Oryzias latipes: one gene and its partner. The protein of the gene in region 1 purifies or fractionates together with the protein of each later gene. This does not show direct contact. Links are inferred from orthologs where the notes say so. Each region holds a gene or a part of one and is shown in the gene's direction. Other genes may lie near its edges.

Evidence for each region.
Region 2: the proteins of ankrd46 (region 1) and atrn purify together in Homo sapiens (co-immunoprecipitation; 3 studies listed by BioGRID and IntAct, with this or other methods). This does not show direct contact. The link is inferred for Oryzias latipes from reciprocal best matches to the Homo sapiens genes ANKRD46 and ATRN.

The regions. Positions count from the first base shown.
Region 1 is NC_019876.2:21,532,302-21,549,176, reverse strand, and holds ankrd46 (ankyrin repeat domain-containing protein 46), read left to right. Parts: upstream 1-7,890; 5' UTR 7,891-8,009; intron 8,010-12,562; 5' UTR 12,563-12,594; coding exon 12,595-12,905; intron 12,906-13,147; coding exon 13,148-13,306; intron 13,307-13,437; coding exon 13,438-13,654; 3' UTR 13,655-14,022; downstream 14,023-16,875. Other genes in the region: collagen alpha-6(IV) chain, read left to right, coding at 884-998, 2,297-2,557; protein KHNYN, read right to left, coding at 15,764-16,088, 16,152-16,253, 16,324-16,431, 16,676-16,772.
Region 2 is NC_019880.2:22,423,133-22,439,907, forward strand, and holds part of atrn (attractin), read left to right. Parts: intron 1-623; coding exon 624-708; intron 709-906; coding exon 907-1,130; intron 1,131-3,076; coding exon 3,077-3,198; intron 3,199-3,855; coding exon 3,856-3,994; intron 3,995-6,080; coding exon 6,081-6,277; intron 6,278-7,798; coding exon 7,799-8,006; intron 8,007-9,925; coding exon 9,926-10,111; intron 10,112-12,597; coding exon 12,598-12,843; intron 12,844-13,111; coding exon 13,112-13,249; intron 13,250-13,714; coding exon 13,715-13,808; intron 13,809-14,060; coding exon 14,061-14,113; intron 14,114-16,775. UniProt on the Homo sapiens protein: Involved in the initial immune cell clustering during inflammatory response and may regulate chemotactic activity of chemokines. May play a role in melanocortin signaling pathways that regulate energy homeostasis and hair color.

The DNA.
Region 1 (16,875 bases):
GGAACATTTCTGCCCCCAGACTACCACAGTACTACCTCCAAATGTCAACAAATCATCCGATTGACCTTAGAACCTAACCAGGCCACTTGCAGGCAAAGGCAGGGGACACCCTGGACAGGTCGCCAGTCTGTCACAATCACACATCCATGCACTCTCACATTTACACCTATGGACAATTTAGATCAACTTATCCCATGTTTTTTGGACAATGGGAGGAAGCTGGAGTCCTCGGAGAAATGCCACACATGGGGAGAACATGCAAACTCTACACATTGATGTTCTGTTTCAGGTGCCCCAGCTGGGACTTGAACCAGGGACCTTCTTGCTGTGAAGCAAGAGCGCTAAATACTGCGCCATCGTGCATTAGTTTAATTAATTTGTGTATTTCACAGTAGGAAGATAAACTTAACCCTCAAACGTTAAGGGAGACTGGTAACAAAACAAAAAAACACTTTGACCTTGTACAGACCAGTCTGTGAAAATTTGTCTGACACTATACCTGTCATTGGGCTGAAAAAGACTGGGGACCAGTGTTCTATAGGGTACAGGAAAGGGACGGACAGAAACGCAGGGACAACCGTTCATAGACAAAAGAAACAACAAGTGAGGGACTACAACAATGATTTCTCCATTTAGGATTAAAAAAGAAATCATGTGTGTGGAGGCATGTGAAGGAAAACACCTATTTCATCTTAGAATGACCCCTCCCCTCCCAGCGTCTACGTCTGTAGCAGCACAACGACCACCAGCTTTATCATCAGCTTCACCACAGAAAGTTTGAAGGCTTAAAGATAGACGAGGAGTTTGTTCTCTGAACTTAACAATCAGTCGGTGTGTGGAACGTTTCAATGAGACATCAAACCTTTTCGTTTGAATCCTCCAGATGTTCAGTATGTGAGGCACCATCTCAGGCTGTGGCGGTCCACAGTCAGGACATGACCATCCCCATGTGCCCCCCTGGGTGGAGAAGTCTTTGGATTGGATATTCCTTCTTGATGGTGAGTCCTAAAAAACTAAACAGGAGACAACTTTTGATAAACACAAATGTGCTTTTGTATCTTCAATCTTTTAATCACAGATTAGAATAAAAAATAGATTTGATTTACACTTAGAAAAATATTAGAAAATATTAATGTAAATCTAAATTTAAAAAAATAGTTTAAACCTGATAAAAACCTAACCTACAACTGGCTAAATCTTTAATCAACTTTGTTAATCTGATTTTTTAATTAAATCAATCCTAAATCAAACCTAAAATAAACTTAAGTCAAATCTGATTGAAACCTAATTTAATTGGAACCTGACTTAAATTAATAATTGATACTTTACTGATCCCACAATGGGAAAATTCTTCTCTGCATTTTGACCCATCCCCTGGGGGAGCAGTGAGCTGCAGCCTAACTGCGCTCGGGAGGCAGTAGCGTTAAGGGTCTTGCCTAAGGGCCCCCACTGGGTGATGTTAACTGCTCGCCATTGATATGGTAATTTACCCAGTACCATTGTTTATCCCCCTTCGGGAATTGAACCCTGGACTCCTGCATGGTAGCCTCTCACCTTACCACCCGAGCTACCCAGCCGATTTGTTCAGACTTTATCCAGACTTTCCTAAATTTCTATTTCTACCTGAAACTAATCTGGGACAAACTTGACTTTAACCTTAGTCATTTTTGGCATTACCAGTTGTCTATAAAAAAAGCTTAAAGGTCAACTCCAACGAAAATTGTGTTTTTGGTGTTTTTTACATGTTCTTGTAGCTTTTTTTTGATGATGATGTACTTCTATAGGTAAATTTAAGCTTAAAATTGCATTTCCGAGTATTTTCTTTATTTAAATTGCGGTAAATCAGGAGCAGATGTAAAAATGTCATGTTACAATCCTTGTAGTTGAGATGTAGAAAATACGTTGGGTGGGCCACAGGTTTTCTGCTCTGCTCCATTTTGATGCATCCACTTCTAGACAACGGCATCCATGAGCCTTAGTTTTCTGACTCAAAACTATACAGTTGGATACCTCAAATATTGCTCACTATTTTTGTTGCAACGCCAATGTTAAGTTGGGGTAGTTAGGGGCTGTAAGTTAGCGTGAGAGCGTTTGAACAACGGGACAGTCCCGCCCACAACTCAGAGTTTCTAAAAACCATGTTCCAGAAAACTACACAGGTTTTTTTTATTTGGTTAAAAAGGCATAAAAAGATGATCAGAGTAGGACTTTAAAATAGCGATCATGTTACATCATGAAGACTGTGAGAATTTATCAGGAACTAACTTAATTGTGTGTTTTCTTGTCTCGACCACAGCACACGGCGGCTGGTGCAGAAGGCGGCGGTCAGTCCCTGATGTCTCCCGGCTCCTGCTTGGAGGATTTCCGCGCCACTCCATTCATTGAGTGCAATGGAGCCAAAGGCACATGCCACTACTTTGCCAACAAATACAGCTTCTGGCTGACCACCGTGGATCCCAAGCGGGAGTTTGTGTCTTCACCAAACCAGGAGACCCTGAAGGCGGGCCAGGAGCGCTCCAGAGTCAGTCGCTGTCAGGTCTGCAGCAAACTGCTGTAGGCATAGCCATGGGGGGACATGATAACACTTTCAGAAAAAAGACAGGTGGAGACGCTGGTGAACGGGATCTTGTGACTGAAAAAAATGAGCCCCCCCACAAACAGTGAATCTATGAAAGAAGAAGCCAGAGTGAGGAAAGACGTGTTTGCATCTTCCTCATTATAACTGATTATGGTGCTATTCTCCCTCAGCTTTGACTTCAGCTGGCCTCTGTTTTCTTTCCTTCTGTGTGCTCTGTATGCTTTCCCCACCTGAACTCCACTCCCACTTCATGTTTATTAATTGTCAACTTGGTTTTGATTGTATGCTTACATTGGGAACCTGCTGTCAATCGTACATGAATTTCTGTACACGTGTTAAATAAGGTTTGTCTTTAAACTATACAGACAAAGAGTCCAAAGGTGTTTTGGATGGCTTTAGGTTCACCCTGTTCCTTTAAAGCAGCCAGACAACATGAGAATCTAATTATCACAAACACAAAAACATATTAATTTCAACCTGTTTTTTGCAAAAAAAATAAAGTCTCACTCAAAACTGGTATGAAGTTATATCAATCTCACACAAACCTAGTTTCAACTTCAATTTAATCCAACCTCATCCCATCTCAAAAACATGAGATTAAAACATAATTAAAATCTCACTTAAACCCGACTTGATCTGAATTGCATAAAATTCAAACGTGTTTGACCTGAATTTAATCTAACTCTAGTTTAAGTCAAATCTGGTTTATATCTAGTTAAATCTAGATATAACCTCTGGTTCAAACCAAAAAAACAAATGCAGTTCAAGCAAGATAAATCTGGTTTAAACTTGGATCATTTTTATTCAATCCTGAGTCGAACCTGGTTTAAACCCAAATAAAACTATATTCAAATTAAAATCTGGTTTAAGTTTTTATTAAATTTAATGCATACTTGGAAAAAAAACTATTTAAACCTGAATCAGACCTGATTCAAACCCAAAACAAATCAAATTTAAACCTAATCAAATCTGGTTTAAACTTTAAAATCTTTTAACTCAAATGCCAGTCAAACCTAGTTTAAACCTGACAAAAACCCGGTTTAAACCAGAATTTGATAAATAATATATCCTAAATCAAACAAAATTCTAACTTTAATTAAATATCTCAGTCTTGAGTCAAACCTGGTTGTAAACTGAATCAAATCTAACCTAACTCTGCCTCTGAGTCAGACTAAGTACTCAGAGATCACTTTCTGAAATGATGATGATGATGATGATGATGATGATGATGATGATGATGATGATGATGATGATGATGAAATGTCTGTACGACCAAATGCCTGTTGGCACATTTCCCTCCTAACAGATCCTGTCTACAGTTTATCCTAGCACAGTTACCTATTTTCAAGACTGAAAACAGGTCAATTTTTACCCGGACACAATACAAGAGCTGAAGAAGAGGAGCTGAATACCTGTTGTTTTTTTGTTTGTTTTTTGTGTGTGTGCCTAACCATTCAGATCTAATACTTATCTGATGTTCCACCTCCCTGAAATCTAACCAGAATCATATCTCTGTAAGGTCATGCAGTAAAAACTGAGTTTTCTTGACTCGGACTAACCCCCTGACTGTACTGATGTTGAGCCTCAGCTGATTCTGCCCCTCCCCTTTCTGCTTCATCCACACACTGACTTTAATACCAACAGCTTCAGTTTGATCTCTGGGTTTCTCTGCTTCTGTGTTCTCACTGAAGAAACTTTCACTTTTCGCGGTTTCCTGAGCGGATTTAAATTCTCAATAAAGTCATTTTTCAGTTTGTTTACTCTAAATAGACCTTTATGACCTTATGACCTTTTTTGACCACTGTATCTGTGCTGCTTCTGAGGTTTCAGCCTTTTTTCCTGCTCAGTTTTTGTTCTTTTGTAATCTAGAATGTAATTATGTGTCTGATGTCATAATATCCCGCCTTATTTACTGCTATTGGAGGGAATAGAATGAAAACTAAGTGTAAACATGGTAAACATGAAACTATAAAGAGAAAAATGCCTCCAGGATGTTTTTTTATAAAATGTTTGAAAACTATATCAAACATAACAATTTTCATTGTCTGTTTAACGCCACACTCAGAAACAAATGTTTTATTCAGCAGAATCCTGAAGAAAGAGATGCAGTTTTCCTCAAAGAGGATGTATAAGAATTAAAATACAATGAATAGTCTTGGCTGCTGTGTGTTTTGTTTGGACATTTTTTGAAAAAAGCTGCAAACTACAAGATCCTCCACATTCTTACTTTGAAAAACTGATAGGATTTTAACCTAAAATCCAAAGTCAGAAATAACCATTGCTGAACTTGATCGATCTACACACCAGATTAAAATGGTATCTAACCAAAATCTGACATTTCATGATAAAGGCACCCATTTCATTTTGACCTGTTTCTGTATCTGCATCTACAGACCAGAGTTTTCCATCAAACAAAATATTTGGTTGAAGGCCATAAAGCATTCAGCCCACTGTTTTCTTGTTTCTCTTTAGCCTTATGCTATCCTAGGCACTTTAACGTTGGGAGTTGGGTCATCTAGACCCACTAGACAGTGCTCTGAACCTTTTTTCTTCAATGATTTATGATCTTCACTGGTGTCCATGGATTACATGAAATCTTTCCACCTTTATCCACCTTTGTCATGGTAGGGAGAACACGTCAATGTGAGGGTGGGGTCATCTAAGATAGCACAAGGGTTATTCCTTTATCATAGTATCTTCCGCCATGTTTTGCTGCTTAACTCCTACAATTTTTTTTTGTTATTTTAACCATTCAGCTATTAAATGTTCAGCTATTTCCAAGTTATGAAATTTGGTCCTTCAAATCCTTGAACTTTTCAAGATATTCCAGGATTTCCAGGATTTTTGCCTCCATTGAAATACATTGGGAATCCTTGAAAACCTTTTCTTCTTTCCACCAGTATAACTTCAACATACTTTGAGCTAGAGACACCTTTCAAACTGCAAATTAATCACAATGTTTTAAACTGATTCCAATTCTTTCAATTCTTTCAGATTTTTCAAATATGTTTTAGGTTTTTTTTATGTAAACCTTTAAACTTTGTGGTATTTTAAGCTTTATACAGGTTTCAATGGGAGAGGCATTTTCACCAAAGTTCCCCCTGTTAGAAGCTTCTTATTTTGGCATTCTTTCAGCTAGAGACACCATTAAAAAGTTAAAATGCTCACAAGGCTAGACTACAACGTATTTTTGCCAGTTTTTCACGAATTGATTTCAAACTTTTATTACTTTTCAACAATCTCCCCTGCTTTGGCGTGACGTCATACGCTGTGCCAGTCGACGGAGGAAAAAAGCCTTCAACTTTTACAAACAAAGCCTCACATCTAGAATGTCAAATCAATCCAAATAAGAAATATATAAAATCATGGGAAGTTTTTTTTTGGCTTTTCAAAAATGTATTTTTTGTCAAGATGTTAGTTTTACTTTTATTTTAAATCATCCCAGATGCCAGACAGTAGAAAAGCCGTAGAGTCGCTGCATCACTAAATGATCACAAACAGCTGTTATCTGTCCTGTCCACTGTATCCGTTTGGTGGCGTTGTGGCATGACACGTGAGCTGTGGTGCACAACTTGTTATTGTGCTGTTTTAACTTTATTTATGGTCAACTATGATCATTTATTTAATTATTTATTTAGCCAATTATTAGTCTTTTAGTTTAATTTCATTTACCAATATAGCATTCAACCATTCTAGTTCAGGGGTCACCAACCCTGTGCCTGCCGGTGCCCATGCGCCCCCGAGCAGGGATTGCTCCAAAAATAGCACTGCTCATATGGCAAATAATTATATTGTGGCGATCTGGGGGTTAGCCTCGTCTTCAGCTTTTAAGACTAATGGGAAGTGGGGAATCTCGGGTGTGTTAAATCGCTCACTTAAGTGAGGGAGCTGTAAGCGGAAGTGAGGTTAATGCTGTTTGGCTGGTGGTGGGTGTTTTCAAAATAAACGGGCAGATTTGATTGTCCACTAACTTGTGAGTGTCATTCTCAACAAACCGGGGTTGTGCTTTGCATGGGCACGGGTAGCAGATTCGGACATGTCCAGTTGGGCCGCTACTAAGTAAGAGGATAGTGACTTAAGACTCGGGCGCAACGGTACTTGCCTGGATAGTAGAGGGTGCCGATTCAGTGCTTGCTATTAGTAATTGTGGCACTTTATTTCTGCTGTCATGAATTATATGGCAGAGTATGGAACGGCCTGAACCTTGCGAATTGGCTCTCCCGCCTTTGAGAAAGAGGCGTGTGTGTGTGTGAGGAGGAGAAGGGGAGGGGTAGTGGGCGCAAGCTGCGAGGTAAAACGGCGCACAGAGACCATTGCTCAACACCTGGATCATCGGGGGGCTTAAATTACTCAACTCATTCTAACAATGTCATTCTTCACTAACTATTTTCTTTATTTTCCATATCCATTTATTTTTATGGTTGTTTAATTGGTGATAGTAACATATAAAAGACACCAAAGACACACACAGGACCAGAGACACACACAGGACAAAAGAAACACAGGAAAAAAACATGGTCCACTCTGGCTCAATGTCACCAGCCTCCCTTGGTACCCGTTTGAAGCACTCTTTGGGAGTTAAAGACTCCCCTGATGGAGGGCTCAGCCAGACGTTCCCAACAGACCCTCACGGTACTTTTAGGTCTGCCAAGTCTTTCCAGCCTCCTTCCCTGCCAGAGAATCCAACTGACCATCAGGTATGGATCGGTGGAGAGCCCTGGTCCTCTCTTTACCTGAGTGTCCAAGACTCCTGCTGAGGGTGTCCTGACGCCAAGTGTATTGATGGACACCCTTGTGCTTGAACATGGTGTTCGTTATGGACAAACTGTGATGAGCACAGAAGTCCAATGATAACACACCACTCGGGATCAGATCAGGGAGGCCATACCTACAGATCACACTCATCCAGGTGCCATTGTCATTCCCCCGTGGGCATTGAAGTCCCTCAGGAGGACAGTGGTGCTCATAATTCTTTAAAATAAATACTTTTTTTGGGGGGTTTTCTACCTGGAAAAATTTGATGTTTATTTTTTATGGACAAGTCTTTTATTTCATTGCAGAAACGTTGTTTTGATAAAAGTCTTGGGAACAAAAGCAAATAATTAATACAAAATAAACAGTATTGTTTGACGCTCTTTGTTTGCTTTGCTGTTTAGTGGCACTCTTACCACTTCTAACATGAAAAAACACATTTTGATGGAAAAGGGAACTGTCCAGAACTCTCCAGCATTCCCTCTGAGAGGATTAGTTTGTGAAATGGAAAACACCAAAAAAAACATGAATGTTCTGCTCCGGTCCAGCAGGTGGCGGTGTTGCACTAAAATGCGGTTTGGACGCCGGTAAAACCAGACAAGAGTCAGACAGGATTAGCATCTCAGCAGTGTCAGGCAACGGAGAGCTGTTTTTCTTCTGACTTGGATCCTCAAAACAGGTGAGATGCGCGGACAAGGCAACAGCTTTGAGTCGAAAGAAAAATTTGCTCTCGGTGTGGGTATTGAAGCTCAGGTTTGAGCCCTCGGTTTGAGTGGTTCGTAAGCAGTTAGCTCCCTTAGCCTTAGCTCCCTAACATCTGGATCTTTTTCTCTCGGCGATGACGTCATAAAACAGTTGTTTATTTACGCTTCCACCTATTCGCATACTCACCTGCCTGTGGTTAGTTAAGCCTACTTACAACACGTTAGGTTCAGGCTATTTTTTAACCCGGCTATCGGTGTTAACTAGTTATTCTGCCTGGTTACCACGTAACTGGTTAACAACTTTGTAAACAAATTAGATTGATCTACAAACACTTTTATAAATGAACTAACAGTTCTTGTTGTGACTACATGGCACAGCATAACACAAACGAAAAGGCAAAAGAGAAGATCCTTAATATTAAAGATGTTCAGTTAGAACACACACTCTTTTAGTTGCAGTAATTTAATAACAAAGCAGAAATCGATACATGAAAATTGTGTTTTTAACAAGTCCTTGGTATTTTTCTAACAGTATATGATAAAAAAATCATCATAAAATTGCATTTCTGAGAATTTAAAAAAAATGTGAATCAGAAGCATAAAAAAGCTGTGATTGTAGATTGTTGGTGTGATGTAGAACCTACAAAAGCATCACATAGAACCTACAAAAGCATCACAGAACCTACAAAAGCATCAAATAGAACCTATAACAGCATCACATAGAACCTACAAAAGCATCTGGTACATCTTCGTTGTCCTCCTTTGAACTGGAATCTGGCTCAAAACTCTACGGCTGGATAGCTCCAATACTGCTGAAGTTATGCTGGGGTGTGAGGGGGGGTTTGTAAGGATCTACATGGATCTAGGTCTACAAGTGGATGCTCCAGAATGGATGCTCCAGAATGGAACAGAGCAGGTCTACCTTCACGCCCATTTTTTTTCAAACCGCATTTTTCCATCTGCTCCTGATTCACAAATGATCCGAAATGCAATTTTAAGATGAATTTCCTTATGTATGTCCTCCATAATCAGGAAAAAATGCCACAAGAAAAAGTTAAAAACATAATTTTCATCAAAGTGGAACTAAATAAACCAGTTCTGCAACTGGTACCCGGTGTAAGAAGGTTAAAACAGACGTGATGCGGGCATTTCTCCTGGTTCTGGTTTAAACTGACTGCAGTTTTCTGAAGACTGTTCCAACCATCTGCCCCACAGGAAATGAAGGCATGAATCGGTTTAAATCCAGACATCAAAACTCAGAGTCTGTGACTGAGATGGAATAACGGATTTACAGCCACCCCACTGGCTTCCGGTCCAATCAACAATTTTTTACACAATCCTTCTGCACACCTTTAACGCCATCCACGATTTCTCCCTTTCCCGCCTGTCTGCTCTCGTCAAAGTCGTCACACTTTCACACCTTAGCTCTTCATCCTCCCTTCACCTGACTTTACCCTTACCCCGCCTCAGCACCATGGGGGCTTGGCCAAACTCTGGAACTCTTTTACACCAGATTTAAGAGTCTTTGTCCCTCTTCAAATCCAAACTCAAAACATATCTGTACAGGAAATCACATATTTCCCACCTTCTCACCGTTTCTGTCTTTCTTCTCTGTTTTTTTTATCATGTTTTATCTGTTTTATTTGTACAGAAATACCAACCTTGGACAATCGACAGTTATGGACCCTTTTTACTCTTCCCCTACAGCAGTGTTTTTCAACCAGTGTGCCGCGGCACACTAGTGTGCCGTGGGAGATGGTCAAGTGTGCCGTGGAAAATTGCCCTCATTAACTGATCTAAAAACATTAACCATCTCCAGGAAATCAGCTCTTTGTTCATCCAAACATGTCCTGATAAAACACTGAGTAGTTAGGAATATAAACGATCATAAAATACTTTTTTCGTTGTGTTTATTTGATTCTATTAAAGACATTTTGATAAGAATGACGGTAACGCGAAATAGCTGCAGCTATAACTGTGTAAGGAAAAGTCCCGCAGCTTTTACTGTCTCCACGACTCCACCAATCATTCTTGAAGGATTAATCACGTCATCAGTCTGACCAATCAGAAGTGGTTAATTTAGCTCATAACTCAGTCAGTTCCGACAAAAACACCAGCTAAAGCTCGTCTATAGCGGTGGAGCTTTCCACAGAATCCGGTATCAGACCGTGGAACAAGTGAACAAAACCATGAAGCTCAGAGACGCGAGTCTTTCTGCCGTTTTCTCGCAGTTTTCACACTACATCTCCCATGATGCATTGGCTTAAAGGGACAGCGTCTTGAAAACACAACGAACATACAGTTTGTATGTAACTTAACTTTTATTACATCTTTTAGAAAAACATCTGCAACTTCCTGCTTTTTCTGCCACAATTATCACAAAAATGCACGTCAGATTGCCGGGGGGGGGGGGGGGCTGTAGATCAAAACAGACTATGAGTTTCTGCTTTTTTTTTTTTTTTTTTTTTGGGATGCTGGTGTGCCGCGGGATTTTTGTCAAGGTTAAAGTGTGCCGTGGCTCAAAAAAGGTTGAAAAACACTGCCCTACAGCATTTCTTTATTATAAAAAAAAATTTTTAAAAATAAAAATAAAATAAAAATACAAAAAAATATTTAAAAAAAGTAAAACAAATGATTAATCACTTATTGAAAATTGTTAAATTGATTGACTTTTGATGATATTACTTCACTAGCTCCTAAAATTGATAAATTGATTCAAAAATCTTTCCTAATGTAGCATAACTTTGCACATGTTTTTAACTTTTGATACTTGATGAAATTTTGCTATGAAAATTCCTGAAACAGTGTTGTGTCTATTTTACTGATATAGTATTATGTTTTAAAGCATATGAATGACTTTTAAAAGTAACATAATTTGCATATATTTCAGATGCTGCATTTGCCATGTTGATTTCTAAAATAGTTATTTTTGACGTAGTACTTAAGTAATTCATCTTTGGCATGTGCTTTATTGATACCTTATGATTGTTAATTCTGTCTGATAAAACCTAGGAACCGGATATTGATAAATCATGTAATAAAATGGTTATAGTATAACGGGGTGGGATTATATAAGTTCGCTTCTTTCCACTCCCTTTCAAGCAATATTTATTAATTATGTCTAATTATCCTAAGTTTGATTAGTTACTGTATGAATGTATAACTGATGATTATATTGTTTTTGTGTATTATTTCTATTTGATTGCTTGAAATAAACCATTTCAAATCAGAAAACAAATCAGAAAAAAACAGTGGCCTTAAGAGTCCTAAAATGTATTAGTATTATTATTATTCCACGTGACACAGATACTCAGCTCTGAGTTTGGCATGACTGTTAAGATTGATCTTCATTCCTCTAAAAATCACTGATCTTCATTCTTTTTTTCTTGTTCCCAATAACAGAGACTTCTGTCTGTCATTTTTGAACTCAATAAAGTTCATGTAGGAGTTCTGCTGCTCTGAGCAGCAGGGAGTCTGATAGACTATGATGGTTTGGTGACAGTTACACAAAGCTGAGTGTCATCTGCATAACTGCATTAGAGAGCACGATCAGACCCACAGGGAGAACCAAGGCTCCATGAACGAACTTTTTGCCATGGTTGCATATAACTGCACGGTAAGTAGGCTGGGTGGTGTATTCATGTCTAGTTTCCCAAAGGTCTATAATAGAAAGACTGTGGAAGACAATGGCTGGCAGTAGTCCGATTGTGACAGACTCTAATCCAGTTTCCAGTATTTCATGCTGTGATTAATAGCCTAACTTTACTGCACTTAAAACCACCAGTGTAAAAAGCCCCGCCCACTGTTCATCAGAGGTAGGCAGCACCGAAACTGATGATTGACCACAAAACTTTCACTGACATCATGTTAACATCAGCTGTTGATGGGGAGCAGCTTTTGAAGCATTCTGCTCCCATGTCAGATGTTCTTGATTGATCAGCAGAGGAGCTCTGCGCTGTGGTTAAGGGAGAATCATAGTGATGCTGTAATATAATTCATCCTAATTTGCTGCAAGACAGCTTTTGAATAATCTATAGATCCTGTGGCCTTGATTTTTTACAAGGTCAAACAAAGAGATGGATCCAAACTTTGTACAAGACTAACCCAGATGTTCCCTTTCACTTAAGAAGTCAGAGTTGTCGTCCTTCCCAATGTCTTCTTCTGTGTTCCATTTGCACTGAGAGTGGACTGGAATATTTAGTAGAGTGGAAACTTCTGGAATGGGACGGGGGTCTCACAGAAGCTTCACAGATGTTTGCAGAAGCCTTAACCCTTGTGCTATCTTAGATGACCCCACCCTTACATTGACGTGTTATCCCTACCATGACAAAGGTGGATAAAGGTGGAAAGATTTCATGTAATCCATGGACACCAGTGAAGACCACAAATCATTGAAGAGAAAAGGTTCAGCGCACTGTCTAGTGGGGTCTAGATGACCCAACTCCCAATGTTAAAGTGCCTAGGATAGCACAAGGGTTAAATGAGTTGCTGAGGTTTCTCATCCCGTTTCCCGCTTGTTTTCCTGCAGGTACGCTGGAATTTTCTGACACCCACTCGGACATGTCCTATGTCTTCATCAATGACTCGTCGCAGACCAGCGTGCCCCAGCTGCAGGCCTGCATCGACGGGGACCTGCCTTTCGCCAAGAAACTCCTAGAAACGGGATGCGACCCCAACATCCGCGACAACCGTGGCCGCACAGGCCTGCACTTGGCTGCGGCGCGAGGAAACGTGGACATCTGTCGCCTCCTGCACAAGTTTGGCGCTGACCTTCTCGCTACAGACTACCAGGGGAACACAGCGCTGCATCTGTGCGGCCATGTGGACACCATCCAGTTCCTGGTGTCCAATGGACTGAAGATTGACATTTGGTTAGTGGCTCTCTGTCATCGCTGCTGTTTGTTCCACAGCATAGGAAGGATTCAAACAGAATCCTTTACAAGCATGTCCGTGTCTGTGGTCACTCTCTAAAACCAATGTTTCATTTGGTTACAGCAAAGGATTGTGGGATTGGATTATGGCCCATTTTTACAGAAAGGATGCTGCATGTTTTTATTTTTTTTTTCAGTTTGACTTACCCTCCCCTGTTTCTGTGTCTAATCCCTGGCTTCAGTAACCACAATGGCTCCACCCCCCTGGTGCTGGCAAAGAGGCGGGGCGTGAACAAAGACGCCATCCGCCTCCTGGAGGGTCTGGAGGAGCAGGAAGTGAAGGGCTTCAACAGAGGGGCTCACTCCAAGCTGGAGACCATGCAGATGGCTGACAGTGAGAGGTAATGGGGGTGCATGACATTCAGAAGTGTGTATGTGGGGGTGTCGCATCCATGTGCACAGAGTTCAGTGGTCATGTGACCTCATAGGACTCAATTTCTTTGGTCTGAAGTCTTTCTTCTTCTGCTGCCAGCGCCATGGAGAGTCATTCCTTACTGAACCCCCACCTGCAGAGCAGCGAGGGGGTGCTGTCCAGCTTCAGGACCACCTGGCAGGAGTTCGTGGAGGATCTGGGCTTCTGGAGGGTCCTGCTGCTTCTGGTGGTCATTGCCCTCCTCTCACTCGGCATCGCCTACTACGTGAGCGGCGTGCTGCCCTTCTCCAGCAGCCAGCTGGAGCTGGTCCACTGAGGAGGAGGTGCTTGCTACATCTGCAGCTGAGGTTCTTCTGGCACCAGATTGACATTTATTCCCCAGACCTTCGTCATCAGCATCATCTTCATGACATTCTGGAGAACACCCACCCACTTGATCTGTTACAGACTGATCTTCTGCCCCCACACCTTGTTCTCCTTATTTAACTGTAGTTTTTTTTTCTGGATGTTCCCAATAACCTTGCCCCCCTCCCCAAGCCTTTGTATCTGCATCTGTAATAAAGGCGTTATGCTGTAGGATTTTGTCTACCTGTCGCTAGACTTCCATGTCATCACAGACATTATTGATCCTGCTTCTTGTAAGAACTGAATAAATATGGATGTTGTAGTGGCGCTGGTCATTTCAGAAGAATTTACCGTTCATTGTATGAACAAAAATGATAGAATCTATGAGGAAGTTAAAATAGAGGTTTCAGCTGTGCTGCTGCTCAAATCCCAAAGGAACTTTGAGGCAGAGATGAGATGAAAACCACTTGAGGAGGCAAGGAGGCTACATGACAGACGAAGGTCACATGGCTGCTGAAGGCTGTACATTACAGGACGGCTGTGGTGCCGCAGTTGCGCAGTCGACCCCTGAACGGAAAATTGTAGGTTCAATTCCCGCCTTGTCCACCCATGTGTCTAAGTGTCTTGTGCAAGACACTGAAGCCTACCTTGCCTCTGGTGGAAGGTTGGCGCCAGTGTTCGGCAGCGGAGCCGCCACCGGCGTGTTAATGGGTCTGTGACTGTAAAGCGGTATACAAGTGTACACCATTTACATTGTTATACCTTTTCTTTTTTAAACTTGTCCTGTCCAACAGCTGAGCAAACAGATGTGAGCTGAAAGCCTCTTGTGTTGGACATATTTTACTGTTACAATAGAGGTTTATGAATCTTCTTATTCACAAGGTTTATATTTGCATAAACCCCTTTTGTAATTTAGGCCACAACTTTATTTATATTGTATTTGTATCAGTTGGATTAGATGGAAAAGAGGAGGAGGGAAGAAGAGAGGGATGTTGGGGAGGGGTAAGGGCACAAAAGGGAGAAAGGGGGCATAAAGTAAATAGGAGGATGATTATAGAAGCGGGGGTAGAATCATACAGCAACAAGTTGCTGGAAGTTTATAATCATTACTGTCGGGTGCAAATGTTAGTCCAAAAGGGGCGGGGCCTGTCCACGCACACTTAAATTTTACAAACACGCCTCTTGGCTCCAAAACTCTTCATATTGTACATGTCAACACGTACACAATACAACTACAGTTCACACACATACATATGCATACAAACCATCACATGTAAAGCATTTATCATTCAGTCATGTGTACTATTGTGCAAAGGTGAGCTAACACCTGTCCTCTTGATGGAATGTAAAAAGAGGAAGGGCCCATTCACCTCCACACCAAGACCCCCGCCAAAGCAGCAGTAGTAGCCAGGAACCCCGACACCCAGGTGGTATAGCAGATCGAGGAAATCCACCCGCAGGGCAATCACATCCCCCACCCAGACCAGGGCCAGACCAAGGGGACATGCACTGTTCCACTTCTGAGATCAGAGATCACCTTAAACCCCAGGGCTCAAACGCCAGGCCTGTGTCCTACATGATTTTAAATTAATCTGCTAATGAAGCTCCTCACTGGCTAAACAACCAGATCCAGGTAATCAGCAGCAGACGAGGCAGGATTTCTGAAAAACCAGCAGGAGGCCGGGAGTCTGAGAGGGCTGCTTAAACTGTAGACTGCTGTCAAGCAGGGGGCCTTTGCTTTCATGAAAGAGCCTGACAGAAGATCCCAGGAACTCCTTTGAAAAACCTTTAATAATAATTTAATAGTAAAAGTTTGTAAAAAAGAGTTTGTAAAATGACTAAATCAGCTAGATTAAAGCCTGCATTTCAAATTATTAACATTGTCTATAAATATAATCTGGAAAATCATGATCACCTTCACATGGAGGACATGTGACAAATGGAAATCATTTCATTCTATCCAGAATGTTTTCACGGCTCCCCACACACAAAATAAAGCTGCTTCAATGGAATACAGCTGAAGCAAAAAAAACACTGCTGATCCAAAAAAAAGAAAGATTGAAAAAAACTTCAGGAGATTTTAGTCCTGCTGCTCTAGGATGAAACTGGACAGCAGGTTGACATCTGTCTCTGCGGGGTGGAGCTGCAGCTGCAGCGCCACCATGCTGTCCTGACCGGGGAAGACCTGGCACAGCTTCAGCCTCAGCTCAGACGTTTGCTCTGCAGTCCTGTTCTCCCGCTGGGCGCGCCCGGCAGGGGGCCTGCGACCTGTCCCGTCTCCTAAAGCACCTACTGCTGTTCGGTCACGGAAGTTCAGAACTTCGGTCTGGGAACGGGGGGGTTTAGAGGGGAGAGTCGAAGACAAACCAGCAAAGGAGTGGCTTCCTGGAACCGCAGTCCTGAAACTGAACACAAGGAATTAGAGGCATGAAAATCAAAGTTTCATGGAGGAAAACTGAGGAACTCACCTCTGTTGCAGGCTAAGAAACTGGTCCAGGTGAGGCCCCCCCCTCCCCAGAGGGTCATCAGGGACCATGAAGAGGTCCCCCACAAAGGTGTACTGCAGGAGCCTGCAGGAGAAGGAGGTCAGACAGACAAAGGCGGAGCTTGAAGATGTCTTCAGTGAGCAGATCAGCTGACCTCTTCCTGATGATGTCCCTCCACACCACAGACTCATCCAGCAGGTCTCTCAGGTTGTCGTTGGTTACAATCACTCCATCTGTCTTCTGCGCCAGCTGCAGGATCAGTCTGTGGGGAGGGGGGCAAATGCATTCATCCTTATTATTATTATTATTCCTCCTTAGGGGCTAATTGTTGCATCACTTTGCTCTGCTGTGACTCCTCAAACTTCTCCTGTCTGAGTCCGTGACGTTGCATCGGGATCTGGACTCCCTGGCGTCCTCAGGATACCTGCTCCACCCGGAGCTCCGAGGGTTTCAAGAGACCCATGCGGGGATGAAGTCACGCACACACGCGACCGCCGTGCACGTACCTGTCATCGTACGAGCTGATTCTCTTCCCTAGGACCTCCCTGGAAGGGGTGTAGTGGAGCAGGCCGACCGTCTGCAGCTCCGTCAGGTAATGCTTCTCTGAGAGACAAAGACCACGTCTGAGCCGCCGGGTGGCCATGCACACGTACGTGCACGCACACATAAGTCCACACAGTGCTTGTGGACTTACCCCTTTGAAAGG
Region 2 (16,775 bases), on another chromosome or scaffold:
TCTCTTTATATATGTCCTCCATCCTCAGAAAAACATGCTAGACACACCAAAAACACTACAGGGGGTCTTTAGCTGATCAGAAATGATCGGTTGTGTGAAGCTGCTGAGAATCGGCTCCATTTGCTGTTTTGAGTGAATCTCGATTCAAACACAATATTGAAACTAATGAACCACAACACAAATCAGATGTTGCCTTTGACTGACAGCATTGTTCACAATGAGCTCCTACATTTTTGAAGTGTCCTTCCAGATGATCCAGAACATGCTTTTAATTTGAAAAACGGTATGCTAGACCCTTGTTGTTTTGAATTGCATGTGCTGAGGATTAGCTGACATGGCTTTCCATGCACTGAGACTGCTGTACCCTCAGGGGGATTTTTAGCACTTTTAGCGGCTCTGTCTCCACACATCATGTGTAAATTTGAAAATCTTCCCCCAGAGCTGAAGAGTGTTTTTTTGTTTAACATGTGCCATTTTCCTCCTGAAAGTGTGGCTCCCTCAGACCTTTGGCCAAGGACACATTCCTGATTCAAGACGATGACTTGTTACTGGTCCTCGGGGGAAGCCGAGCTTTGTCACTTCCGGGTCAACGGGCTGACCTGTGGACCACTTTCTCTTTGCAGCTTGTGATGAGTGGGCCGTTTTGCCTCGACCGGACCTCTACCATGACGTCAACCGCTTCGGACACTCTGCAGTGTTTACTGATGGGTAAACCTTTTCACTCCACTTCAGCCAACAGTGCAGAACTTTACCTGAAAAGGGGATACATCTCACTTAAAATATCTTTCAGATGGGCAAAGATTTATGAAATTTTGGATTGGATTTAAAATGGAAACAAGAATTAAAGTTATTAGAATTTAAGCTTGATGTATAATTAATTTCTCTCTCTTCTCTTTTTTTTTCTAGAGTCATGTACGTGTTTGGAGGCTTTAACAGCCTCCTCCTCAATGACGTTCTGATGTACACCTCACCCAGCTGTTCCGCCTTCTCCAGCGCCGTGACCTGCGCCCAGGCCGGGCCTGGGATCCACTGCGTCTGGAACGACCCCCAGAAGGCCTGCCTGCCTTGGGAGGGCAGCCCTGCCGGTCCCAGTCAGCAACAGCTGCCGTCATTCTGCAACATCAAGTCCTGTAGGTGAAGCGTCATACTGAGAATAGGCTCTTTCTCATCTGATAAGAGTTCAGTGGATCTGAACTAAACTGGCACCTGGCTGTGATTGCTACCGTACTCTGATCGGAGTTCTTGACGTACCGATGACCACTACCGATGTCATTTAAAAGAATATTTGTTTTAAATGGTTGCCAACTAGTTTTTATTCCTCCTTAAAAGAAATGATGTTCTCAACCCCTGGAGAATAATTATGAAGTTTGTCACAAATACCGTGGTTTCTGCAATACAGGGCACAGCATGAGGAATGGTCTGTTTTTGAAATGATGTCATAAGGCGAACTATATGGCACATTAAACAAGACAAGAGTGAGAGGGCGTATTCACACCTGACACACGTGGTTCGCTTAAAGTTAAGCAGGGTTCGTTTCCCCCAATAATCCAGAAGAATTACATCCAAGTGGACCCTGGTCCGGACCCAGGAACCGCTCTCTGAGCCGTCTTTGGAGGTGGTCTCTGTTCGATTTCAATCGGACAACGCTCCGGTTCGCTTTGACTTTCCTTAGCCTGAAAACAATCTGTTCTCGGAGTGGAACAGCTGAACCAAAACAGCCATGGTAGCCGGGCATTATGGGATGTAAACAGAGACAAATGTGAATCAGTGATGCAACAGCAACTCTTTAAAATGTGGTTGGACGAATGCAGGCTCATTAAAACAACTTTGAACGTGATCCACATTGCTTCTCACTGTTTTCCTAACAATCTAAATGTCATAAACACTTATCAGCGTACCGTCTTAGCGGCTGTCTCCTCAGTAACCGCCTTGCAGCAACCCTACACCGTACCAAAGTCAAAAGTGTTGACTTTGATACAGACGCTCAAAATTTGTCGGCCAAATGTAAACTATAACTAGTAAACGAGGATTGCAAAGCGCAGCACTTCCCTAATTTCTGCCTCTAGTTGCTTTGCCCCGCCCTCGTAATTCCTGGCCAATGACTGAGATCTTTAGTCACATGGTTTTGCTAACAGGCTTCAGTTCAAAACTGAAATCTCCGGTAGACCCCAGTCTTGAATACAGATATAACACAAGGTTCAGGACTCTGTCCGGACCAGATTAAGCAGACTCGGTCTGGACCAACAGACTTTTCCAGTCTGAATACGCCCACAGATAACTTTGTCAGTCAGTCAGACTTAATAAACTGCATTCACTGTAATTGTAGAACGTGTTCGTAACATGCTACACGTCAGCTGTCGCTACGCTAACTCCCAACCTTAATAATGGATTGGATTTATCTGCGCTTTTTCCAGACACTCAAAGCGCTTACAGTGTGTCCATTATTCATTCACTCCTCATTCATACTTGGTGAGGGTAGCTATGGTTGTAGCCTCAGCTGCCCTGGGGCAGACTGACAGAGGCGTAGCTGCCAGTTCACGTCTACGGCCCCTCTGACCATCACCGGGACATTCATACACATGCACACACTAGTGGAGCCACACTGGAGGCAGGGAGGGTGAAGTGTCTTGCCCAAGGACACAACGACAGATGTTAACCTTGTTAGTAACACATAATTTTTTTTTTTTTTAAACAGTCAGACACAGCTACACGTTAGCTGCTATAACGTATTCACAATAACATCCAACCTTGTTTACAGCAGAAGTAGTCCATATGTAAGACGCTTGGGATTAAATATTTCTGAACAAAATAAAGGCTTTTAGGTGCGCTTATAGTTTAGGAAATACGGTAAATTGGAGAGATTAAAAAAAATGGCCTGGATAAAATGTCTCTTCCTCATGTTGCCCTTTATTATTTTTCATTTTGTTAGTTCCCTTTAAAACATTAAAAGTCCCCCACTTCCATCCTGCTGTTTTCCTGTTGGCGTCAGAAGTCAGCTTGTCTGTGTCTGCAAAGTTATGCTGTTTTTTCTTCAGAATAAAGCAATGATTGAATATGTTTCCTTTAAACATTGCAGATGCTGATAACGAGCGCTGTGATCAATACACTGACTGCTACAGCTGCACCGCCAACACCAACGTCTGCCAGTGGTGCTCCGGCAAGTGCCTCTCCATGGGGAGCAACTGCACTTCTGCCACGGTGAGTTTCCTCTGAAGAGTCCAGCTTTGACCACGCCGAGGCCTTCAAAGATCCGGAAGAAGAATGGTCATGGGGAAAAATATAGCTGCCACTTTTCCTCATGACCAGATGCTTCTTCAGCCTTGGAGCTCCAATCTCTTTACAGGCTTTAATCAACAAAAAAGGCTTTCTTTCTCTCTAATGGACAAAGCACTGTCGATGGAGAAGCTTTGTTTGGGAGGGTTTTTGTCACCAGAGAAGCACTGTAGTAATAGGCTCATATTCCATCTCAACATTTCAATGTTTTATAACCAGCTGGACCCCACTGCTGAGCATGGTATGATAAGGATAATGATATGGGATGTCTTGCAGCATTAGAGCCTGAACGGTGCAACTGTGAGTCAGCATGAAAAACTGGGTGTTCTGGAAAAATCCAGTCTATGTATGTGAAAAAAAACCCTAAACGATTGGATAATGTCACTACAAATTGACAACAAACTGACCGGAAAACATCAAATGAAGGTGTTTCAAAAGTCAAAGCCCGGGTTTAAACCTGCTGAGGTGCCGTGTTGGGACTTTAAGGTCTGCCTGAAGGCATTTGCTGCTCAAAAAGCCCCACAGGTGATAAGAAAAGAACCACATCTGTTGCCTGAGGTGTTTTCTGCTCTTCCCTCTCAGGGCTCCATAGTAGAATATGACGTCTGCCCCAAGGACAGTCCCTTATATGTGTGCCAGAAGAAAACCAGCTGCAAGAGCTGTTCCGTCGACCAAAACTGTCAGTGGGATATTCGCAACCAGAACTGTGTGCAGCTGCCAGGTAACTGCATCCATTAAAAAAAACCTTTACGCTTTTGGGCAGAGCACATGCACACAAATATGTTCTTTTGGATTGTGAGGTTAAGTATGAAAAAAAAAATGCAGATAAATTCAACATTTCAAATTAATGAGTTCATGGCTGAAAAACCATCAGAAACATTGGAGGCTAAATGTGGGACATTCATGAAAAATGTGAGAATCTGATGGCAAGAGCAAAGCTAAGAACTTTTAAAAAAAGGTTACCATAAAGTCTGGCAAAGTACGACAGAGTTTTAGGGCCAGTTTACAAACAATATATTTTTTTTTATTACGACTTTTAGGTCGTAAATTTAATACTTAAAAAAAAGTCAGATTAACGAGGAAAAACGCCAAAGCTGTCTTTTTATCCTAGCTTAGCTTGAAGATGAAAAATGTGGAGCGTTTTCTGCAGCGTTTGAAGTGGACAGCTGCAGGGACACGGACGTCTTCATCAACGGATGCAGAGATCCTGCAAGCCGTCCAACAATAAATAAAACATGAATATAAATATTCAGCTCACCTGTTTCAATTGTGTTTAGTGGGTCTGCTCTGCTGCTGCCCGGCGTTCACTTGCTGCTCTGTAAGATCACTTCCACTTTAATCTCGTAAATCTACGACTTTAAATCTCAAGTATTTGTAAAAAAAAACTAGTAAATCTATGAATTTAAATCTCGTAAATGTACAAGTTTTTTTGTTGTAAATTTACTACTTTAAATCTCGTAATTTTACTATTTTATTTTTATCTTTGTGGTGGCCCCAAAACTCCATCGTAGCAGATTGAATTGTTCTAATAGGAATATTTAGCCGAAATTTCTCTTCAATAAAGTTTAACTACCAAAAAAGTTGGATCTTCAAATGCTTGAACAATTTCAGAATCAATCGTCCATGTGAGATATATGTGACATCTGCTAAACTGTCAGTGTAGATGAAGAAATCTTCATGTGCGGGGTACAAGACAGAATGGTTCAAATCTGGAGACATTACAGCATTATAAAGAGGCATGACTGTAATAGAAACCGCTGTCTGTTTGGAGAACGCTGCATCTGTGACAGAAGAAACACATTTTTCCTGCAAGGATCTAACTGCCGGACCGTCCTGGATGCAGTCTGAGCCTTCACAACATGAAACCTTTTAATGAGCGCCACGGTATGGTACAGCCCATTTGGAGCGTTTCCATTATTAAATGGACCCATTAGGCCACACCATTGTGGGCCACTGTTGGTTGAAGGTGCATAGAAAAATGGAACGGACCGGTGAGGGCGGAGCTACAGTTGAAACCCGTTGATTGGCTTAAGGTCATTACGACAAGAGAACGCTCCAAGAAAGCGTCTGTATTTCTCTTCGCCGCCCGCAATCATCTCTCAAACAACATTAAATGCTTTGTAGATACGAAGAAGCAAACGATGAGCTGCTGGATGACCTCCATTGTTGTTCTTGTTAGATTCACTCCGAATGCGCCACGACGGTTCCGGCTTTGAGTAAAAACGCTCACCTTAAATGCCTGGACCATTCTAACCCGGACTGGCACCGGACGGTACCGCTCAGTGGAAACAAGGCTTTAGGGTCCTCCTGCTGGGTTACCAAACATGAGGCCTGGTGTTTGAGGAATGGAGGACCCCCCAGTGGGGGGAACACCACCCCATTCCAGCTTCAAGAGCTTTGTGCTGCTGCCATCAAGTCCAATAGGAGAGACCTTCTTTGAAATCTTTCCATGTTCTTTGATTCTGTTCTGCGGTGTACAAACTACAGCCATATTGTTGTACAGCATGAAAGGCTTTTTTTAGTGAATTAGAACTAAAAAACTTTACATGATTATTGGATAGGATGGAGAATGTCAGCTGTTATAGCGCAGCGGACACATTTCTGATTGCAGATTGAAGCTTTAGGGATTTTTTTTATTTCTAAATCGATGGTCTCAAGGAAATCTCTATGGTGGAAGAAATGATGTTACTTTCAGGATTACACCTTCAAAATAAAAGCTGGAGCTTTTGCCACTCCACTGATAGGAAAAACAATGTTTTCTTTCTCTTTATAAAGTTGAAGGAAAACAAAAAAGGAAATCTTTACAGTTCTTTCTCTTCCAGAAAATGTGTGTGGAGAAAACTGGCACCTGGTCGGCAACTCCTGTCTGAAGTTTATCACAGCGAAGGACACGTATGACAACGCCAAACTGGCGTGCAGGAGCCACAACGCCCTGCTGGCTTCGCTCACCACACAGAAGAAGGTGGACTTTGTGTTGAAGGAGCTGCAGAGCATGAGCCTGGTGGTAAGGATGGAGACCAAGGCTGGCATTGAATGAAATTCTGTTTTGTCCTCAGGAGAATTGGTGCCATCAGATAATGAGAGAGTCCATGATGTAAAAATACTAGATTAGCTGAACTATCATTGCTATCTTGTTAAAAATGAACCAAAACATTTAGGAGGGAAATGTTCAGCCATCATTTTACCAATGTCTTTCTTTTATTGTATTAAAAGGATATTTGTCTTGTCCTTTGTTGAATAGTATGATACGTCCTTGGACTGGACGGGCCTTAGTTAAGACCGCATGTTTGTGAGTTAAACTCTGACGTGATCATTAGATCTTTCTAACTATTCTGTCAAATAGTCAAGCTTTACATCTGGAAGGGTGCAAAAACGTAACATGTTATTTCAAAAATACTTTAGTCGAACTTGAATGCAGCTTAAACACTACTGAGCACAAAAAAAGGGGCGTAGTTACCAGTTAATCAAAGTTGGTCAGACAATAAATTACTGGCTGGATTGTTGAAGGGAACATGGGTGAAAGGTTTGTTTGCATGATTGCAAAAACCCAAGAAAGGAGTCAATAAGTCTTCGCCCATTGGCAGATTTTCTCTAAATGAGCAAAAAAAGAAATCTGCCACTGTGGTTAGAAAAATGGTCTTACCAAGGAGAAAAAAAGACATTTTCTCTAAAGATTATTTTCCTGGGGAAAACCTTTTGAAACTAATTTGTATTTTTAGTTTCTAAAAATTCCGTTTTTGCCTTGTAAACTCCCATCTACTGTCACGACAAGCTCATGAAGATTCTTGAGAAGGTTTTAGACTTTAGCCATCAAGTTTTGATGATTTATTCTTGTTTACAAACACCTTGGTTCTTCCAGAACAGGTCCTAAGGTCTGGATGCCTTCAGACATCAACCTAACACAAGTGGATCTAGTAAAAATGTCAGAAAAGAACTGTTATTCCAATGTGCAACTCTCTTTAGCATAATGGAAAAGCTCACTAAAACAGACAGGTTGTTTGGTTCTGGGCAGAAAATGGAGGACCAGGGGCTTTCTCTACTGCATTTGTGTACGGCTTCTGAGTTGTTGTCGTCGTTGGGTTTGTAACCTTTAGAATAAATGCATCATGGTCATGATGTAAACATAAAGATTGTGTCTGTTTCCTCAGAGTTGAAGGTAATCTGCTGTGGAAGCAGTTGAAAACATTCTTCCTGCTGGTTTAGATGGACTCCATTGGGGCCGATCCGCATTTTTACGCATTTTCTGGCTCGATTGATAAGATTGATAAGAAATGAATTCAAGCTCTAGAGAGTGAGCTTTTTTTGATCATTGCTACATAAATGGATAAAGAATGACTGCTGTTGATGAAACAACAAAGTGTTTTCTGCTAAAAGAGGAGGTTTCTGTGGTACAGACGTTTCTCATGGATTTGGTGGAACTGAAGTGCCCACGCTAACCCTTTCCATGGACGCTTGACAGGTGATTTTGGTGCTGACGGATGCCCAAACCTGAAAGCAGTAAACCCTTTTTGTGTGTTTCCATCAGTACACGCCGTGGGTGGGACTGAGGAAAATCAACGTGTCCTATTGGTGCTGGGAGGACATGTCGCCCTTCACCAACACCATCTTGCAGTGGCTGCCTGGCGAGCCGAGCGATGCGGGATTCTGCGGGTACCTGGCAGAGCCAGCACCCAGCGGGCTGAAGGCGCAGACCTGCATCAACCCCGTGAACGGCAGCTTGTGTGAACGGCCAGGTCAGCTCTTCCTTTTTGAATTCAGCTCTTCCTTTTCACGGTTTGGACAGTTTTTCTTCCTACCCACACCGTTGTAGTGTTTTCATGACCAAAAGCCTGTATTTTAGCCGTCATCAATAACCGGACCACCAATGGGCTTGACTATTGTTGCCCGGCATTAAAACAATCTCAAACGGAGAGAACTGCTACTGTCTTCAGTGACGGCAAGAGGACCTGGCGGCAGACAACGGAATGGTCCCCGGACATCGCTAGCCTGGTTGAAGAGACTACAGTATTTTCACGACCATAGGGCGCACTGGGTTACAGGGCGCAGTTATGGATGATTTTTCTGTACAGACACAAAAGGCGCACAGGGTTTTAAGGTGCGGGCACGTTAACACATACTGGTAAAGCATGCGTGCTAGTGTGTGTTTTAAAAAAGGCAGCGGGACCAAACTGAGTTGGTTGGGATTTATTTTTCATTTTTTCAGTCATCAATCAGCATCCAAAAATCCATCAAAGTCCTCATCTTCTGTGTCTGAAATGAACAGCTGGGCTAGATTTCTATCACCCCCGCCGGGTTCACTTCTGTCGTCGTCAGAGTCCGTCTTGTTGCTGTGCGGCTCCCTATGAATGATGCCAGCTTTTGCGAAACCCCGAAGAACAGTGCGAGCAGACACGTCAGCCCAAGCTTCTACCATCCATTCACAGATTGTGGAGTAACTCGCCCGGCGCCGCCTCCCAGTCTTAACAAAACTGTGTTCGCCATTCAACACCGCTCCCACGCCTTTTGCAACCTTACTTTGAAGCTCTGTTCACACTGATGTCCAGCGGTTGGAGTTCCTTCGTCCAGCCTCCCGGAATGACAGTGAGCTCCGAGTTCATTTGCTTCACTTGTTTTTTCACAGCGGTCGTTCCAGTCAGTCTTCCACTCAGACCACCTCGCCTGCGTCATCTTGACTTGTCAGTTTGTTTTCCAGCTTCCTCCACTTGTGAAGCATGGATTCATTCATCTTGAATTCTCTGGCAGCTGCTCGATTCCCATGTTCCTCCGCATAGCTGATAGTTTTCAGTTTGAACTGGGCTTCGTAAGCGTGTCTCTTTGCATTTTCAGGGTTTCCTATACAATGTTGTTCTGCATAATTCACATAGCTGCACTTTAGTAATATTCTGGCTTCTTTCACGTCCATACCATAACTTCAATCAAACTGAATTAGCTGATATGCAGAGAAAAAGGCAACTTTGCGTCGGGAAGCAACACTTCAAAGTGTTTTTTACTGAGATGCGACACATTACGAATATAAGGAGCCGCTTTTCTCTGCGACAGAATATGCTGATTCATTTAACAGTTTTACAAACATGGAACACTTTTGTGAATACACATCTTGAAATGAATAAAGAATTACAGTTTTTTGCTCCATTTTAAGCTCATCTTGCACACTTAACCGTTTATTCACATGAAAAGGATGCATTGAATCTGGGCACTGTCCCGTCTCCGGCTGGGTCCCCCTCGATGAAGGGAGCAGTACACACTCCCTGTCATTTGCTTCATGTTGCAAACCTCATGAAGTTTGACACAAAGTGTCTTCATCTTGCTGTGGAGTTGGTTGAAAAGTTTCGCTCCAACGTCTTCGTGGTCAGACCGTCACTGAACACGCGCTGTCACGGTCTTTTAGGCAGTCGTGGATAACGTGTCTTTTTTTAAACGTCAGTGACTTCTGTCTGAACACTAAAGTAAAACTACTCAATTAATTAAGAATGGTCTTAATGATAAAATCCTCAACTATAAAGGAAGTTCATTGGTGGGAGGGAACAATGTACCTGAATGTATTCTAATATTGAAAGTTTACTGAGATGGAACTAACATGGACGCGGCAGGCGTGTTTGTCCTGCAGGTCCTGGGTGCGCAGAGGAAAACTCTGTCTGCTCTTTCTCTTCAGCCAACCACAGTGCCAAACAGTGCCGGACCCCGTGTGCCATGAGAAGCACCTGCAGCGAGTGCACCAGCAGCAGCTCCGAGTGCATGTGGTGCAGCAACATGAAGCAGTGCGTCGACTCCAACGCCTATGTGGCCTCCTTCCCCTTCGGCCAGTGTATGGAGTGGTACACGCTGAGCACTTGTCCACGTACGTTCTTCTGCTCTTTGGTAACGAGCAAAGCACACCAAAAATATAAAATGTACCTGTGTTTCAACTGAGCTCGTCTTGTCAACTCGAACACATGAAGTGACTACACTGCCATGTATGATACATGAACATGTTTATGAACCGTGTTATTATGCCAGCCCAAACTGCTGCTTTGTTGAAGTGAGAGCAGCTTAATAGAAGCAGACGGTTGTTTGCTGCTCCAGAACATTCTCAACACCCAGAATGAAGGAGATCATCAGTTCAAATGCAGAGTTGAAACCCTAAACGGTCAATGAGAGTAATTGCAAAAAACAAACGGGGATCACCTTCCTTCTTTACAGTATGTTTACACAAAACAACGCCAACGCGACTCAGTGGTGTTTCTCAGTAACACTGTTATTATTGAAATATAAACAGATATATACAACATATCCCCCTAATACATCCGGCTTTTTTTACTATTTATACTCTGTTAGTTAAGAGTTTCTTTGGCGTCTTCCGTCTCCTAGAACAAAGTAGTCTCAAAGATGGCGGGCCCGTAACGCTCCGTCCACATTCAGATGGACAGCAGCTTTTTACCGGTTCAGTTGAATTAATTACCGTAGGAATTACCGATCAAAGGGAAGACCACATGATGTGTAGCTGAAAGTGCCTGCATACACTCAAACGATGCACCCAGAGAAACAGCCGTCATATCTGAAACCATCGGGCCGTGTTGTATTACCAGAAGCGGCAGTGACGGTGTCTTTCGGAGTCTCCTCCCTTTTTTAGCCGTAGTCAGTCACATAAGCGTCACACCGTGACTCTTATCAAATATACACCATTTCTTTTTACAACATAGACATTAGGGCTGCACGATATGAGGAAAACTTGCGATATGCGATATTAGTGATCAATATTGCGATAACACTAAATTTGCGGTAAATAAACAAATAGAAAAATAAACAAAAACATCATTCCCATTTCATTGCAACAGTTTAAAAATTATACTCCAAATGACCCTCATCAACATGGGGGACAAACGTCAGGGTGGCTAACCCTGGTCCTCAAGAGCCTCAACCCTGTCTGTTTACCAATTCTCCCTAGACTGCTCGATAATGATAACCAAAATCAGGTGTGTTCAGTCAATCAGGATGTGAAATCACTTGAGTCAGCCAATCAACAGCAAGCTGGTTAAGGAGAGCTGGAAAACAGGCAGGGTTGAGGCTCTTCAGGACCAGGGTTAACATAATAGACCTCCATCTGATTGGTCAACAATGGGAAGGCGTCCATCTGATTGGTCAAAGCATAAAGGGATTTATTTGATTCGTTAAATGCTTCAAGCTGCTAGAAGATTGTTTTAACTCATTTTGGGTTTGCGATTTATTGCGATATTCGCCGTCTTTTGCGATATGCATATTGCAGAGCTGGATATTGCGATAACGATAAATTTGCGGTCTATTGTGCAGGCCTAATAGACATAGTTGGTCTGCACACATATACATATAAATAAAACTAATATGACATGTCGAACATGTTGACAAAATAATTAAATAGGGGATCCATAATGTGGCTAATTGTGGAATCCAATAACTGTCTGTTTTTCCAACAGTAAAATGAAAATACGATTTATAATGTGGCACTGCTACATGGGGAAGGAAAGAGACTTAGAAATCTCAGTGCCAGTATTTCGGGCAGATCGCTCACCTGGATTTTGACTTAGTCACATGCACCTGCATGGGGATTGACCCATAGGGGGGCTGCAGGTTCTCTGGATTGTCTGGGGAGCCACCTTATCTGGAGCAAAGGTGTCTCTTCAGTTCCCTTAAGGGATGTCCTGAAAATGGAACATATTGTCATGCGTGTGGTGAGAGTATCGTGAACTATTTGTAAGACGGACCTGCACATGGACGCGCTTTAGTAGGGGGACACGTCAGGCACCGCAGGAGTTGATGTAGACGTATGGGTGGGTGATACTGTCGTCCTTACACCACACTCTGGTCGTTAGTAAGGTGTGAATATTGGATCTTTACTGACTCCATGCAAATTCTTCACAAACGGGGTGTGCAGGTACGCAAGTGATGCCTATAGGATGCCTGATGTCCACACTAACTACACTCTGTGGGTCTAATTTCCTTAGCATGCACGGATCACGTGAACAGCACTTTCGGGCTCCTTGCACAACCCGATGGATTTGGCAGGGATTGAAAAAAAAGAATAAATCTGTATTACGCGCCTGAATCTTGCGTTTTTCACCCTTACTTACCCTCAAATGATGTATAAATGTTTACTGTAACTTTTCATCTGGAAGATACCTCTAGAAAACAATTTGCATTTCTCTGTGCGGGTTTTCTAAGCGATCTACTACTTTGATATTTCTTGCGGGTGACTTGCGTGCTCCGCACAGGTTTGCACATTTTTTGGCTAAAAATAAACAAGAAAGATGTTTGCTCTGAAGATTTTATTTTATTTTTTCATTGAAGTGATTACATTCTTTTCTGCTGCAGCGGAAAACTGTTCGGGGTACAGAACATGTGGGCAGTGTTTGGACCAGCCGGGCTGCGGCTGGTGCACCGACCCCAGCAACACAGGCAAAGGCCAGTGCATCGAAGGTTCTTACCGCGGGCCCTTCCAGACCGCCGTCCCGGCCCCCTCCACCCAGCCAGGCCTACCCGCCAGCCCCCATCCAGCTCTCAACTCCAGCATGTGTCCGAGCGAGGCCAAATACGACTGGTCCTTCATCCACTGTCCAGGTAAAGGGGCGGGGTCCGGAGGGTTAGCTCAGATGCTGGTATGACAGGAGATGCAGTCATGCAAAGCAAAGTGCTCTGCACTTCTTCCATCTGAAGAAGTTTGTGACAATCTGAGTGCTGTAGGTTGTCGTGTTCACATGACAAATAACACCCTTCCTGACACGTTTTCATGTCGAGAAAGGTGTTGTGTTTTTTTTATCACATACGCTTCCCAGCTTTTACAGAATGCCCTGCGCTCAGATGCACCGCTTTGTTTCTTGGTTGGCAGCGTGTCAGTGTAATGGCCACAGTCAGTGCGTCAACGAGAGCGTCTGTGAGAAGTGCGAGGACCTGACCACCGGCCGACAGTGCGAGAGCTGCGTCTCTGGATACTACGGAGACCCAACCAACGGCGGCAGCTGCCAGCGTAAGTGTCAGTCTCTGACTACAGCAACCAGTCAGTTTTCCTGCACTCGACATCATTTACTGCGTGGCCTTTTACAGTTCTGTTTAATGTGGGCTGTTTCGGTGAGTCCTCAAATCCTTCCTCTGGGAAGTGAAAGAATTGACAGTCAGTCAACCCAGGAAAAAAAGTAATCACGCCAGCAGGTTAATTGAGCTTCTTGCCTCCATGCTGTTACCGTATGTGAGATGTCATTTCCACCTTAAAACTGTTTTCTCTGTGAAAAACACAGTTTACACAGCAAGATTCCGTCAACTGATGAGCCTGTCTGTAAACCAAGTTTTTTTGTTTTCGTAGCAAACCAACATTTCTGTGTCAAAGTGCCTGAACTCTGTTAGCTCACAATCAAACACAGAGTTTGAGTCAAAGATGGTTTTTATTCCAAGTGTGTGAGCTTTCCATTTATCCCTGCTTCCTGTCCTGTTCCAGCCTGCAAGTGTAATGGCCACGCCAGCATGTGCAACCCCAACAATGGCAAATGTTTCTGCACCACCAAGGGTATCAAAGGAGACCGATGCCACCTGTGAGTCTGATTCCACTGGCCTTCTCATGCTTCACACACTCCTCCATTCTCATCATCATTGGCAGTTTTGAACGAACCTGTTAAAAGAAATGAAGCTGTTTTCTTATAAATATATACGTTCTCGGGGACCCAGGTTATAGCCTGAATGTCTTCACGGCCTGAAGTGAAGCCCAGCCCTTTTTCATCACCTCTCTCTTCCTTTTCTGTTTTTCCCTCTTCCTGTTTCTTCTATTTTCAATTCCTTCCTTTCAGGTGTGAAGTGGAGAGTCGTTACCAAGGCAACCCCCTCAAAGGGACCTGCTACTGTAAGTGGGATTTCAGTGACTAACCTCACTTGAGGCTCTGATGGTTGCCAAAAAGAAAACACAATGAGGTCTGGCTCTGGTCAAAGCAAAGGAACAAATCTGTTTATCAAAGAAAACTCTGTTGAGGTTTTTCAACAAAATGTCCCTCAGAGGAGGGAGTTCTGCAATCCTGCAGCAGAGGAACGTGCCATGGCGTCCTTACAGACTGTTTATTTCAGGTTGATTAATTCCAAACACAAAATACACTGCTCAAAAAAATAAGGGGGACATCTAAAGAACGAGTCAATCACACTTCTGTGTAATCAAACTGTCCAATCAGGAAGCAGCACTGACTGACGGCCAGTTTCACATGTTTTAGTGGAAGTGGAACAGACCATAATAGGCGATCAGCAAAACCCTCCAGTACAGGAGTGGTTCTGGACATGGTGACCACAGAAAACTTTTTAACGCCAACAATGATGTCGCTCCAGCGGTACCACGAGACGCCGTCGACGGCCCACACAGGTGGGGCAGCTCATGCAGGATCTACGTCAATGCGTGCTGAGGCGAGAAGGTTTGCTGTCAAGGTAGTGTCCAGAGGATGGAGGCGCTGCCGGGAGAAAAGCCAGTACATCAGGAGATGTGGAGGAGGGCAACCAGCCGGCATCAGGACCACTACCACCTCCTTTGAGCAAGGAGAAACGGGAGGAGCACTGCCAGAGCCCGGCAAATTGACCTCCAGGGTCTGGAGACGGCGTGGAGGACATTCTGCTGCCTCCAACATCGTCCAACTTGGCAGTTTGGCAGTGTGTCAGTAACAGTTTGGAGCCACAGAGCTCTCTGTGTGCTCTCCAGAGGAGGCTTAAGTGCCAGTAGGCACCAAGATGAGATCCTGGGACTCCTGTGAGACCAGATGCTGATGTGATTGGTCCTCGGTTCCTCCTAATCCAGACAATGCTGGACCACATGTGGCTGGAGTGTGTCAGCAGTTTCTGCTAGCCAAAGGTAGTGATAGAATGGACCAGACCAGAATCCAGCTGAGCACATCTGGGACATCATGTCTCTTGTTTTTTCAGGATGTGTTTTTGTAGTGTTCCCTGTATTCTTATTGAGCAGTGTATTTTACTCCATAATTTGCACCTGGACCAAATGGAAAGTTGTCTTCAAACTCCACTGGTTCTGTAAACTAATACAGTCTTTTAATACAGTGGGACAAAAAGTATTTAGTCAGTCACCAAGTGTGCAAGTTCTACCACTTACAAATTTTGAGAGAGGCCTGTCATTTTCATCATAGGAATACCTCGACTATTAGAGACGACATGAGAAATAAAATCCAGAAATTCACTGATTTTTAAAGAATTTATTTGTAAATTATGGCGGAACATAAGTATTTGGCCAATAATAAACATTCAACTCAGTACTTGTTGTATTGTTAAGTCTTCACAAGGTTTTCATTAACAGTTGCTGGTATTTTGGCCCGTTCCTCCATGCAGATCTCCTCTATAGCAGAGATATTTTGGGGCTGTCTCTGGGCAACACAGACTTTCAACTCCCTCCAAAGATTTTCTATGGGGTTAATATCTGGGAACTGGCTAGGCCACTCCAGGACCTTGACATCTTCTTACCAAGCCCCTCCTTTGTTACCCGCACAGTGTGTTTGGGATGGTTGTCATGCTGAAAGACACAGCCACGTTTTTATCTTCAATGCCCTTGCTGATGGAAGGAGTTTTTCGCTCAGAATCTGACCATACATGGCCCCATTCATGCTTTCCTTTACAGTAGGTCTGGTGTTCTTTGGATGCAACTCAGTATTCTTTCTCCTCCAAATACAACAAGTACAGTTTTTACCAGAGTTGTATTTTGGTTTCATCTCACCCTAGGACATTCTTCCAATCCTCTTCTGGATCCTCCAAATGCTCTCTAGCCAGCTTTAGACGGGCCTGCACATGTACTGGCTTTAGCAGGGGGACACGTCTGGCCCTGCAGGGTTTGAGTCCCTGGCGGTGTAGTGCGTCATTGATGGTAGCCTTCGTTACTTTGGTCCCAGGTCATTCACTGGGTCCCCCGTGTGGTTTTGGGATTTTTGTTCACCATTCACCGGCATTGATTTTTTTTTTTAAACTGGAAGTGTCGCTCAGTATTGATTGGAGTTGACGGCAGATCATGTGACCAATGGAAACAAAGCCTTGTTATGTCGCATCACTTGTTTTAGCACATTGAAATGCGTCAATGGTGGAGCTGTTTGACCCGTGGTTTTAACAAATAGGTGCAGCACTTTAGCCAGGCTTTCTAACAGAGCAAACATTGTTGCCAGTGTGGGTCCCTTGTGATGGAAATCCCGGCTCCTTTTAGCAACTCGGCTGTTCTAGGTCAGTTCACTAAAAAAGAGCCTCTTTGGGCTCTCAAACGGCTCTTTACGTCTATTTTTTGCTTTCTTTAATTTGTTAATATAGGATCATGCACAACATGAATAAATAATGTAAAAGAAAAAAAACAAAACCAGTTATTTACAATTCAACTTTTATTTGCTTACATTTTTATTTCTCCTTTAAAAAAAAAAAAAAAAAAAAGGGAAGCAAATCAACACAAAACACTGGAACCACAATTCAGAATAAAAGTTACATTGTGAAAGCCAAAAAAAAAAGACTCATTAGCATTTCATCTGCTGTGGAGCTGGTTTTAT